Linked DNA regions of Rattus norvegicus. The protein of the gene in region 3 purifies or fractionates together with the protein of the main gene of each other region. This does not show direct contact. Links are inferred from orthologs where the notes say so. Each region holds a gene or a part of one and is shown on either strand. Other genes may lie near its edges.

Region 1 (3,643 bases), on a different chromosome or scaffold from region 3:
TGTGTGCCTTTAATCCCAGTACTTGGGAGGCAGTTTGAGGCCAGCATGGCCTGTACAGCACATTCCAGGACAGAGCCACACAGAAAGAGAGCCTGTCTCACAAGATGCACCCCTCCCCCATCCCCCCCCCCAAAAGAAAGAAAGAAAAAAACATATAAGTCACCATGACGAGTTGTCCTCTGACCTCCACACGGGCAGATTGACGGGAAGACAGTCACTGAGAGGACAGAGCCTTAGGACCTCTCCCCAGTGTTACCCATCATCCTCAGTGTTACCCATCATACCACTGCTCTCCCCTCCTGAATGAGAACTAGGGCTAGCTGGTCTGTCACAAGCAAAGCTCTAGAAACATGCTGGCCACACTCAGATCCTAGGCAGAAAATGGGTGAGTGGCTCTGGGGAAGTTCTTGGGGAGATTGGGTCAGATGACCAGGAAATAAAGCAAACCAACCAGCCTGGAACCGAGCCCAGAGAACGAGCCCCAAGGCTGCCCACTCACCGGGCCTTCCACAGGCTGGACATTCTGTTGGTAATCCTTGTCCTCGAGCTCCAAGAGCAAGTAGACAGGCTTGCAGTCTCTGGACTCGTTTGGGAACCCTCCCGTGTCGACTTTCCTTTTGATGGTGGAATTCCAGTGATTCTTCACAGCATTGTCTGTCCTGAGGAAGAAAAAAATCCAGGGCCTCTGACATGCAGCTCTCAGCGGCTGCAGCTTATCCACACATCTGTAAGTGAAGTGTTGCAACCAAGGTGACTGCAGAGGGAGGTGAGGCTACTGCACGATCGAGGCCAATCAAGCCCCACAGAGGAGTTCCGAGTTCCCAACCGAGAATCAAGGGAGGCCCCCAAAGATAATATGCATGGGTTTACCCCGAGAAAAGAGCCAGCTCAGACTCAGGTGACACTTGGCACCTGCCTTCCTCTCTATTCTCCCAGGATCACACTGCAACAACAAAGGAAGACTGGAAACAAAGCCAGAGAGCAAAGGTGTAGCAACAGGAAGGGCCCTGGGAAGAAGTGGCAGCAGGTGAGCTTGTGGAAGTTACCAGAAGATGGAAAGCGGACAACAGCCAGCCCAGGAGACTAGGAGTTCAAACCAAATTGACCTTACAGGAGGATTCGAGTCAGAACCAATTCATTCCTAGGCTCCTCCCAGAACTGCAGGAGCCCCAGGACTGGAGTGAGGAACCCAGGTTAAGTAAGCACAACAGCTGTCCAACCTCCAAGGCAGGAGGTTTCCTCTTTAGAGAGAAATAACCCAGCAACTGTGGCCACAACACACAGGTCAGAAACTGGGGTTCCATGGAAATCTGTACCCTGGAGGTGAGGTCCCCATACCCCATCTACGTACCCTGGGGGCCCAGGCAACAATGTTCTTAAAGGAATTACCTGCCTCTGGGGAAATGATTAACTCCAGAGGAAAGGTCCTTGGAATGTCCTCCCAAAGGGCCTGTGGACACCAAACACTGCAGTAAAGGCCATCAGCAGATAAGCAGTAAAGGCATTCACAGATAAGCTCAACCACAGTCACTGACTGCTTCTTAACTGCACTGGGGCGTCCACAGACCAGCATCCCTTCACAGCAAACCTCCCCCGTTAACCAATACGGATGGGTCAGCAAAGAGAGAGAAACACACGGCCAGTGATTCTCAAATTTCCTAACGCTGTGGTGACCCCAACCATAAAGTCACTCCCACTGCTACTTCCTAACCGTACTTTTGCTTCCGTTGTAAACTGTAAATACCTGTGTTTGTCATTTGACCGTCAAAAGGGGTCACCACCAGAGGTCGTGAACCACTACACCAGACAGACAGACAGACAGACAGACAGACCGACAGACAGGCACAGAAGGTGTTTTGGTCATTTTAGCAGCTGCAAACATACATTAGGAACTTGGTCCAAAAAGGAGAATTTAGAAAACAAAAACTTCTCAGCCAAAGTAATTTCCAAAGGATTGGAAGGTTAAAACAAATAAAAAAAAATAAGAAATGTCCCAGGACGCGTGAAACCAAAGAGAGAAGGAAAAGATGAAGGCATCATAATGCTCTCAATATTCTGAACAAAAGTTATTTTTAAGCTCTGTACCTACTCAACTCATCTATTAAGTGGGAGATAGAATTGAGGACAGAGCTCAGGATGCTAATGAAGGGTGTGCTCCACTAAAACAAGGAAGTAAACAACAGAAAAGGAGGGTTCATTCTAACAGTGAGAGGTCAAAGACAAGCAACTTAACAGGGCGGCAGTCACAGCACAGAGGAACCGGGCTCCACCTGCATACTTTATCTAGGGACTAAAGACGTGCCTGTGTCTGAGGCTGAAGAGGACAAAGGATCCCTGAAGTGAGTTACAGAGGGCTGCTAGGCACCACGTGGCTGCTGGGAACTGATCCCAGGTCCTCCGCAGAGCAGCAAGATATGCTGAGCCATCTCTCCAACCCTGTTTCCCTCCCTCCCATCCTCTGTTTTTCAAGAGGGTTTCTCTGTGTTGCCCTGGCTACCTGGGAACTCTGTAGACCAGGCTGGTCTTGAACTCACAGGCATCCATTAGCCTCTGCCTCCCAAGTGCCTGTATTAAAGGTGTGTGCCACCACTGCCCAGCTCTTACCTTTCTTAATAAGCTACTTCTGTTCCACAACTAACTTAAAAAGGCATGGCTTTCTCTCCATCTCCTGGTGGGTGCTGGAACTTACACTTACCCGGAACTATGTCTTTCTCTTAAACTTTTAATAAAATTGTCTTTATTAAAACAAACAAACAAACAAACAGTGGAGGGGGAAACACTTAGAACAAAAGCCAGAGAATAAGGAAATATACTCATAGACAGTACTAGCAGATTAGTTCTATGTCTGAGGCATCATAGTGTAACTTCTGTTGTCCTAACTACTAAGATCCCCTGCCTCTGCTTCCTAGGTGCTGGGGGAAGGGCGTGCATCACCAGCACCTGGACCAACATCTACTTCACTTTAATTAATAACTTGGAGTCAGCTGGGAGGCGGGGGTGCACACCTTTAATCCCAGCACTTGAGAGGCAGAGGCAGAGGCAGGCGGATTTCTGTGAGATCAAGGCCAGTTTATATAGGCAGAGTTCCGGGATAGCTAGGGCTATGGAAGGCCCCTGTCTCCAAAAGAGCATGCAAGTAAGCTCGGAACCAGCCAGCAAGCAGGGTTGCCCCTTGGTTCTGGTTTCAAGTTCTTGCTTTATCCCTCGATGATTAACGGTGACCTGGAAGTGCAAGCCAAGTCAACCCTTCTCTCTCCAACTTGCTTTAGGTGAAGTGTTTTATATCACTGCAACAGAAAGGAAACTAGGATAGGATATACTGTAGGCAATGGGGTGGGAGGGAGGGTCAGAGTCGCAGGGAGTTAAATCCTCCATGGCTGAAAACCAGGATGGAAACCATCACAGTGGATGAGGAGACAGACAGCCCAGCAGCAGTTAACAGCATTCCCTCTTCCAGAAGATCTTGATTTGATCCCAGCACCCACAGACCAGCTCACAACTGGCCTCCTCAGGCACCAGGCATGCACATGGTACGGACACACAAGTAGGCAAAACACTCACATACATTAAATAGACTGTCCAGGCATGGTGGTACATATCCACATTAGTATCATTTGTGAAGCCAAGGTCACAAGTTCGAGAA
Region 2 (4,107 bases), on a different chromosome or scaffold from region 3:
AGAGGTTAAGAGCACTGATTGCTCTTCCAGAGGTCCTGAGTTCAATTCCCAGCAACCACATGGTGGCTCACAACCGTCTGTAACGGGATTCAATGTCCTCTTCTGGTGTGTTTGAAGACAGCTGCAGTGTACTCACATACATAAATCTTTAAAAAAAACAAACAATTCTAACAATCAGAAAACAGTTCTAACAATCAGAGCCAGGCATGGTTAATATAAGCTTTGATCCCAGCACCTGGAAGGCAGGTCTCTGAGTTGAAGCCAGCCTGGTCTCCATAGCAAACTGCAAGCCAGCAAGATCTGGTCTCATAAAAAAATAAGCCCCAATTTAGATTCAGGTAGTTTAAAGTACGAAGAAGTGGGCTGGCAAGACGGGTAAAGGTACCTGTTGCTAAGCCTAACAACTGAGTTCAACCCCCAGGAGATCCACATGGTGGAAGAACTGACTCAAAAGCTGTCTTCTAAGGGGTTGGGGATTTAGCTCAGTGGTAGAGTGCTTGCCTAGGAAGCGCAAGGCCCTGGGTTCGGTCCCCAGCTCCGAAGGGGGAAAAAAAAAAAGCTGTCTCTGACTTCTCTGTGTATTCTCACACAAAATACAAGAGAGCATGGGAGCTGGAGAACTGTCTCAGCAGTTAAAGAGCCCTTGATACTCCATGAGGACCAGAATTCAGATCCTAGCATCCACACTGGGTGGCTCACAAATGCTTGTTACTCCAGCTCCAAAGGAGTCTCTCTTCAGATACATACGATTGGGCACACACAGGACTCTATAGATACTAACATGTAAGGCAAGTCAAAGGAAACGAGCAGGTAAGTGATAATAAAGCCATTTATTCATCAGCATCATGTGAGGTCAATTCAAAAGAATGCCAAGCCTTCAATTATCAATTAATCAATTATTCAGGTGAATACAAGTTCTTGATTACAAACCCAGAGAGCCCTAGCTAGCCTTGAGCATTCAACCCTCCTGCCTTAGAGGAAGTACTAAAATCACAAACATGCACCATCACACCTAGTAGTAAAATCTGGCGGTGTGTGTGTGTGGTTTTAGTACTCAAGGACTGAACCCAGAGCATCCCTATGCTAAACACAATCTAACAGGCTACGAACTCAGGTAAACTTCCATTTGGGGCTTAAATGTTAACCCATCAACATTAATCCATCATCTTTTTTTTTTTTAAAGATTTATTTATTTATTATATATAAGTACACTGTAGCTGTCTTCAGACACACCAGAAGAGGGCATCAGATCCCATTACAGATGGTTGTGAGCCACCATGTGGTTGCTGGGATTTGAACTCAGGACCTTTGGAAGAGCAGTCAGTGCTCTTAACCTCTGAGCCATCTCTCCAGCCCTATTTTTTTTTTTTAAACGGTTTCACTAGATGCAGCTCTGTCTGGACTGGATCTTACTATATACACAGCCCGCCTTGAACTTAGAGGCCCACCTGCCTCTAGGCCAGAATGCTGGGATTGGAAGATGTGTTACCAAGGACCCTATTTAATTAATCTTATTTCTGTCTGAGATTTTTTTTTCCTTTTAAAGAAACCAATTAAAAGATCTAGCCTGAATATATCACCCCAGCATTGGAGAGGTGGGAATCTCAAACTCAAGGACAGCGGAAGCTATACAGTTACACAAAAAAGAAAATGATTATGCCACCTCTGGATCCCAGGCCTCGAGGGGCAGGCAAACCTCTATGTTCCAGGCCAGCCAGGAGCACACAGTGAGACTGTCTACATAAAACAAGAGCCCTACCATATTTATCTGCCACCATCTGAAGCAGAGTGCTAATACTTACCCTAGAGCTGTTAGTGCACGTAAAATGCACTAACCACTCAATAAACAATATATTTAAATGCCGTCGTGTGCATCAACATGAAATGAAGTCAGAGAGGAGGAATACACTTTTTAAAATGCTAAGTTTACCAAAATAGGCTCAGGAGAGTGTTTCACTTCCATAACAGGTTCAGGCTCAGGCTCATCCAGTTCCACCTCTGGTTCGCACACTGGCACCTTGTCCACAGGTTTTGGTAGGGCTTTAACAGTAACTGTTCCAGAACCTAACTTTTTTGTTTCCTGTGGATGAAAGTGAAAGAACAGAATGTTTTTCCAACGGTGACACCTAGAAGATGGGCTTTTTCAGGATAACTGGACCAGGAAGATAAGTTACCTTTTTGAGGGGTATTCTTGACTGTTCGCTGACTTTATTACCAATGTCTCCAAGAGCAGTTCTCGATCTCAGCAGGGGTTTGGAGGCAGCAACTGCCACAGGCACACGCTTGGCGCCTGCCATGCTGACCTTGGCCTTATTTTCTGTGTTAATTTTCGTGTTCTGAAAGAAGTAAGAACCACTTGAGAGAGGATCCATGGCGGCTCCAGGAAGTCATGGGTTAATTAAGGCGGGACCCCACTATGGAAAGCAAGGGCTCTAGGATCTATCCTCCAGCCCTGACAAGCAGGTTTCCACCCAAAACGTTCACCTATTATCCAATTTCCCTTTAAGTCCCAAGCAATCCTAAACACGGTGAAATTTACATCGGAAAGGTAATCATGAAAGCCTCCTTGTAGACAGCTCTCTGGGAAGACTCTGGGCAGACAGACTCTGGGAAGATTCACTCTGGGCCTTCATCATTAAAAGCACACCACCCTACTCCCTCTAAGTCCTTCAGCCCAGATATGTCCCGAAGTCTTTTTTCACCCTCCAGGGAGGGTCCTTAGCTCCTCCATTGGCCGGAACCTTCCGGGCATCCCCTTCCCCTCCTGGCCGCCGCGGCCTTCTCCCACAGCGAGGACCGCAGCGCCCGGCCCGACTCACCCTAGTGACCCTGAGCGCCATGGCTCCTCCTGAAGCAGAGGTTCGCCGATCTGAGAAGACACCCTAACCTCTGGCTGCCCACACCTAAACACTAACAGCCGTTCCCCCACAGCACGCCGGGAGGAGTCTGCCGGGCCTGGGTTTAAACCCCGGGCCGCTCCCTCCTCATTGGTCAGTTCATGGCACTCGCTCTCTTCCCATTGGTGCTGCGGGTTCCCGTAGAATGCGTTTCCTGGGCGATCCCGCGATCCCAAGTTCGGCGAGGGGTGGGGCCAGAGCGAGGCTGTAGCTGGCAGCACCGCCCACCCCTCGTGAGGTCAAGCTCTGCGCCTGCGCACTCGCCTCTTTGCTGCCACCTGCTTTAGGTAGGCTTGGCCGGCAATGCCCACTTGTGTGCTGTCCAAGGCAACTCCGTTGGACCTTAGGAAAATGACTGTGGGGCCGCCACGTTTCTGGAGCACGCATAACAGTTTTGCTGTCCTATTTATTGTTTCTCTTTTTAAAAATAGATTTATTTATTTAGTATATATAAGTACACTGTAGCTGTCTTCAGACACACCAGAAGAGGGCATCTGATCCCATTACAGACGGTTATGAATGAGCCACCATGTGGTTGCTGGGATTTGAACAGGATCTCTGGAAGAGCAGTCAGTGCTCTTAACCGCTGAGCCATCTCTCCAGCCCCTACTTACTGTTTCTCATCCTCATCTACAGAAGTGCCAGTACTATCTTAAGAGTTCGCGAAAGCTTTGAAGCAGAGACAGTCTTTAGTATGATTGTTCCGACCGCTGCCTGGGATGGATTTTGAGGTTTATAGCATGAAGTTATAGCCTAAGCAAATAGATTAACATACCAATCGCCCCAATAGCTACTGCCCCAGGGACAAAAGAAAATGTGCCACATGCTTAATTTCGCTCCTGTTTAAGATTACTTCAAAAATACAGTTTTGTAGAATCTATTCTATTTAACAAGAATCCATAATGCAGCACTCCATCCTTCTACCTCAGACACCTTATTAAGGCTAAATAACTTCAGTGAAATCTTTTTCCACATTAAATTTCAGTAACATCAATGAGGATTTATTTATTTGTTGACCAGGATCTCTTGTAGCACAGGTTGTTGGCATTCCTTCTATGCTCTGCCCAACAGTTACCTAGCAACAGCCAGATAGGCCAGTTTGCTATAAAAAAAGAACTGCTTCTCTCCTCCTCTCCTTTCCCTTCCCCTCCCTTCCCCCTTCTCTCTGTCCTCTGTCCCCTCTCTTTCTCTGTCTCTATTCCTTTCTCAA
Region 3 (4,229 bases):
TTACTATAACCATTTCAACAGCTCTCAGGTGTTTCAATGCTCAAAGAATAAAGGAAGAAAAGGCCTTCTTCTTGGTTCCTCCTAGATTCCTGCCTACCACAGACATCAGTGTGACACACTGAAGACCTTTCCAGTGAGGAGAAAAGCCAACCTCCACACCCTTGCAGACCACATACCACAGCTCTCCTGTCTTTGCCTTGGAAGAGCTCCAGGTGGCTTGGGAACAGGCACACCCTTAGCCCCTGGCTTTGGTCCCAACGTCTCGGTGATCAGTTCTGTTCTCTTGGAATCAGTGCTGGTTTGGGCTTGAGATTGAGGATCAGGAGGATGAGATGAGGCCCCACCAGAGCTGATGAGGATGAACTTGTTGGGCCCACTGCTGCCACTCTCTTTCCCTTTGGCAGTCAGCGCTGTGATGATGCTCTGGATGTCCGCGTTGTTGGGGATAGCCACCACTTGTGTGTTGGGCATGGTTGGGTGGTTGATAATCTTGATTCCAGCTGGAAATTTGCAAGAGCTGGACTCTGCCACATCTTGGGAGGCCTGTGCTTGAGTAGGCTCCTGCTGTCCAGGGGATCTCTTTGCTTCTTCCTCTGAGGTTTCACTCGGGGCATTTTGAATAGGAAGGGGCAGCCTCCGTCTCTTGAGAATCAGTGGCCGCCGGGGGCTGGTTCTCATCATGAAGCTGTGCTTTCACTCTCCATCGAGAATCACAAGCTTTGACCCTGCAGAGGGCAAGGAGAAGCTTGCTATCAGATCTGCTGGGCTGAGACAAACTGGAAGTGTTCCTCTGCATGAACAGACAGAAGCAGAAGCTCAAAGGCCCAGGGGAATCCTGCCTGGACCTTTGTCCAACCCTCAGACAATAAGGACAGAAGCTAGGTTTGATGCACACTTGTGATCCCAGCACCTAGAAGGTTTAAGGTCACCCTTAGCCAGAGAGTGAATTCAAGGTCAGCATGGGCCACATGAGACCCTGTCTCAAAAACAAACGAGCAAACAAGAACAAACAAATAAAGCCCTATCACTGACCAAGGAAAGCTGAAAACTGCAGCAAACACTTCAAGATGGGAACATGGGACTGCACTGAAGTGCATGGTCCCCTGTAAGCTTAAGAATGTTTGGCCAGGCTGAGAATGTAGCTTAGTAATAGAGTGCTTGCTTAGCAAGGCCCTAAGTTCAGTTCCCAGTACTACAAAAAGGCAAACAAACTAGAAAGATTTGGGAGGGAGGGGAGGCTGGCAAGATGGCTCAATGACCGAAACCATCAGCTGCTAAGCCTGGCCACCTGCATTCAGTCCCCAGGACCACGATGGTGGGAAGAGAGAATCAGCTCCTGACTGTTACCCTCCAACCTCCATACATGTGCTGTGGCATGTGGGCAACCCTCCTCCCCAACCCCCGCCCCAGTAAAAATGCAAAAACCTCTTTTTGAATGTTTGGCCAGAGGAATACACATCTACAAGAATGTGGAAATACCAGCCACTGTCCACTAGAATGCAGGTCACTCTCGATGACTGTAGGGACGAATGAAAGACTCTACCCAAGCCATAGTCCTAGTGCCCTTTTCTTTCCGTCTCAAATAATGCAGCTGACCTACACGTCTGATTCTCCTGCCTCCACCTGCCAGAATCACAGGTGTGGCTACAATGCCAGGTTTAGGTAGTGGTAGGAATTGAACCTGGAGCTTTGTGAATGCTTGGTAAGCACACTACAATTAAAAACTCCAATCCTCTTGAATTAAAAATAATTTTTTTCAATAGTTGTCAATAACCACTGAGCCATCTCTCCAGTCCCATTCTTTCTTTCAAAATCTGCAAAGCATTTGCACAGTGACATTTTGGTACTTGAGAGTAACTATATTTTAGTTTTATAAGTATAATACTTGATTTTTCTGCTTCTAAAGACTGTAATACAGATCTTCTCCATACCAAAATGTGCTATCATTAATATGCTTAAGGTGGCTTTAATTTTTGAGATAGCGTCTCATGTAGCCCAGGCTGGTTTTGAACCACTGAGCCTTTGGCCCCCAATTTTCTAGGTGCTGAGATTACAGGCATTCACCACTATGCCTGGCTATGCTAAAGTCACTTTGAAATGCTAAGGAAGGAAGTCTTTAGAAAAAGCATTTCATAGGTTTTTATAGATAGATAGAATAATTTATCATTAAATTAAATCCTGCCACTCCATTTTGCAATCCTGCGAGAAAGGGAGAAACAGCCGGCACTTTAGGAAACCTTCCAAAAAGTAATTACACTTTTTTGACATTTGCCAGCTGCTTAGCCTTCTTAGGTCCCTTCCTCCCTGTAGCTTTCTCTCCTTTATACTTCGTTCTCTCGACCTTCAAATCTCAGTTCTCGTTTTGCTTCACACTGCACCCACCCCAATCAAATGGTAGACACCCCCCACCATAGGGTACCTCTCTCTTTGACCAGCCTTTTCCTAACACTCCCAAAATCTTCTAGCGCAAGGCGACTTGCAGAGCCATCCCCAAAGACCCCATTCTCCACACAGAACCGGGAACCTTGCAACGCTCAGCTAGGATCCCACCCTGCAGCTGTGGAGGCGGAGGCAGGGTTGACTGCAAGTGCAGACTCAGAGGGCAGGCCTGTTCCCAGGGTCCCGGGGTGCTCGGAGAACGCGGCGGGAAAGCCGAGGCCGGCGGCTCAGACTTTCTTCCTGGCGGTCCTCAACACCCCCTCGCGCCCCACAGCCCCGGCAGTCCCGACTCCAAGCCCTCCCCGGACCGGGTCGCACCCCACTCACCTCACAGGCCACCGCTGCTCCACGCGGGGCCGAGCCAGGCCAGGGCGGGCGGGTCCCGGCGGGACGGCCGGGGTGGGAACCCGGGGCGGGGTGGGGGGTGAGCCCGGGCCGGGGGTGGGTCCCGCAGCGCCGCTTTCAGTTGTTCCGCTGTTTGAAATTGGCGCCGGCGGAGCGTTGCGGTCACGTGACGGAGCGTCGCCAATCGGCACCGGCTTGTCTCCGGGTTCCGGCCCCGAACGCTCGGCGTCCTGAGGAGCGGCGGCCGCGGCCGGGAGGGCGGGTAAGGGGGCCCCGGAGCTCGAGGGACGGCGGGAGGGACGCGGGGACGCGCGGACCGCGGCCAGCAGCCTGCTCCGCCCCGCCCCGGACCGCCCTGCCTCCGTGGTCGACTTCCTTCCGGGGCAGCGTACGCCACTCCCCCGGTTAGCTACCCACTGGGCTACCTCTGGATCCACCGCGCGGCTCAGCCCTCGTTGCTGCGTGGGGTCCAGCTTGGGTTTCTGTCCCCAGACTTGCGGTTAAGTGCCCTACGCCCCGCCCCTGTCTGTGGCCGCCTCCACCTCGGGCCCAGCCCCGAGGTGTCCGGACGATCTTTTTTCCATACTTTACGAAAGAGTGGAAGGTACAGTGGCAGACCGGGCCGTCCTTCCCCTGGGCTCACCGGTGGTCTGATGGAGAGGGAGCCCAGAATGAGATGAACAGATCGGTAGAATTCTAGCTACAGAGGAACAGGTTAGAGGCCGGTGGGTTTTGTCTGACCCCGGGTATCCCCATGTGTAGAATTCTCGATTCTCGTGTTTCCGCCTTCGGAGTAGCCCGGGTCACTGGCTCGCCCTCCCGCAGCCGCCAGTGATAAATTTGAGTATTTATTTTAACGAGAAAATCTTGACTTAGGGCAGGAAAGCCTTTCTTTTTCCTTTCTTTCTTCCTCTCTTTTTCCTTCCTTCCTTCCTTCCTTCCTTCCTTCCTTCCTTCCTTCCTTCCTTCCTTCCTTCCTTCCTTATGAGCTGAGAACAAGGTGTAAGATCTGTCACCCATTACACAGAAGGGAAGGAAACATTGAAGCAGCTAGATTAAGAAGGGAGATGTTTGGGGCTGGGGATTTAGCTCAGTGGTAGAGCGCTTGCCTAGGAAGCACAAGGCCCTGGGTTCGGTCCCCAGCTCCGAAAAAAAGACCAAAAAAAAAAAAAAAAAGAAGGGAGATGTTTTGACTGGAGGAGGCTAGGCTGGTGAACACAAAGGCTGAAGGTCACAGGGATTTGAACTAAGACTTAGGGGGCGTGGTATGCTATGAGATGGGGAGCAGATAAAGACTGTGTTTGAGAGGTGAACAGGTTAGAGGCTGGTGGGTTTTCACTGACACCAGAATGTGGTGGCTCACGCCTTTAATCCCAGCACCCAGGAGGCAGAAGCAGGCGGATCTCTGTGAATTCCAGGCCAGCCAGGTATTCATAGCCAGCCCC

The links.
Region 1: the proteins of Foxm1 (region 3) and Mybl2 purify together in Homo sapiens (affinity purification with western blotting; 3 studies listed by BioGRID and IntAct, with this or other methods). This does not show direct contact. The link is inferred for Rattus norvegicus from reciprocal best matches to the Homo sapiens genes FOXM1 and MYBL2.
Region 2: the proteins of Foxm1 (region 3) and Ccnb1 purify together in Homo sapiens (affinity purification with western blotting; 4 studies listed by BioGRID, with this or other methods). This does not show direct contact. The link is inferred for Rattus norvegicus from reciprocal best matches to the Homo sapiens genes FOXM1 and CCNB1.

Annotation. Positions count from the first base shown.
Region 1 is NC_086021.1:172,134,798-172,138,440, reverse strand, and holds part of Mybl2 (myb-related protein B), read right to left. Parts: intron 660-3,643; coding exon 500-659; intron 1-499. UniProt on the Homo sapiens protein: Transcription factor involved in the regulation of cell survival, proliferation, and differentiation. Transactivates the expression of the CLU gene.
Region 2 is NC_086020.1:33,652,285-33,656,391, forward strand, and holds the start of Ccnb1 (G2/mitotic-specific cyclin-B1), read right to left. Parts: upstream 2,942-4,107; 5' UTR 2,841-2,941; coding exon 2,820-2,840; intron 2,337-2,819; coding exon 2,175-2,336; intron 2,081-2,174; coding exon 1,931-2,080; intron 1-1,930. UniProt on the Homo sapiens protein: Essential for the control of the cell cycle at the G2/M (mitosis) transition.
Region 3 is NC_086022.1:163,324,327-163,328,555, reverse strand, and holds the start of Foxm1 (forkhead box protein M1), read right to left. Parts: upstream 2,929-4,229; 5' UTR 2,767-2,928; intron 726-2,766; 5' UTR 682-725; coding exon 177-681; intron 1-176. UniProt on the Homo sapiens protein: Transcription factor regulating the expression of cell cycle genes essential for DNA replication and mitosis. Plays a role in the control of cell proliferation. Also plays a role in DNA break repair, participating in the DNA damage checkpoint response.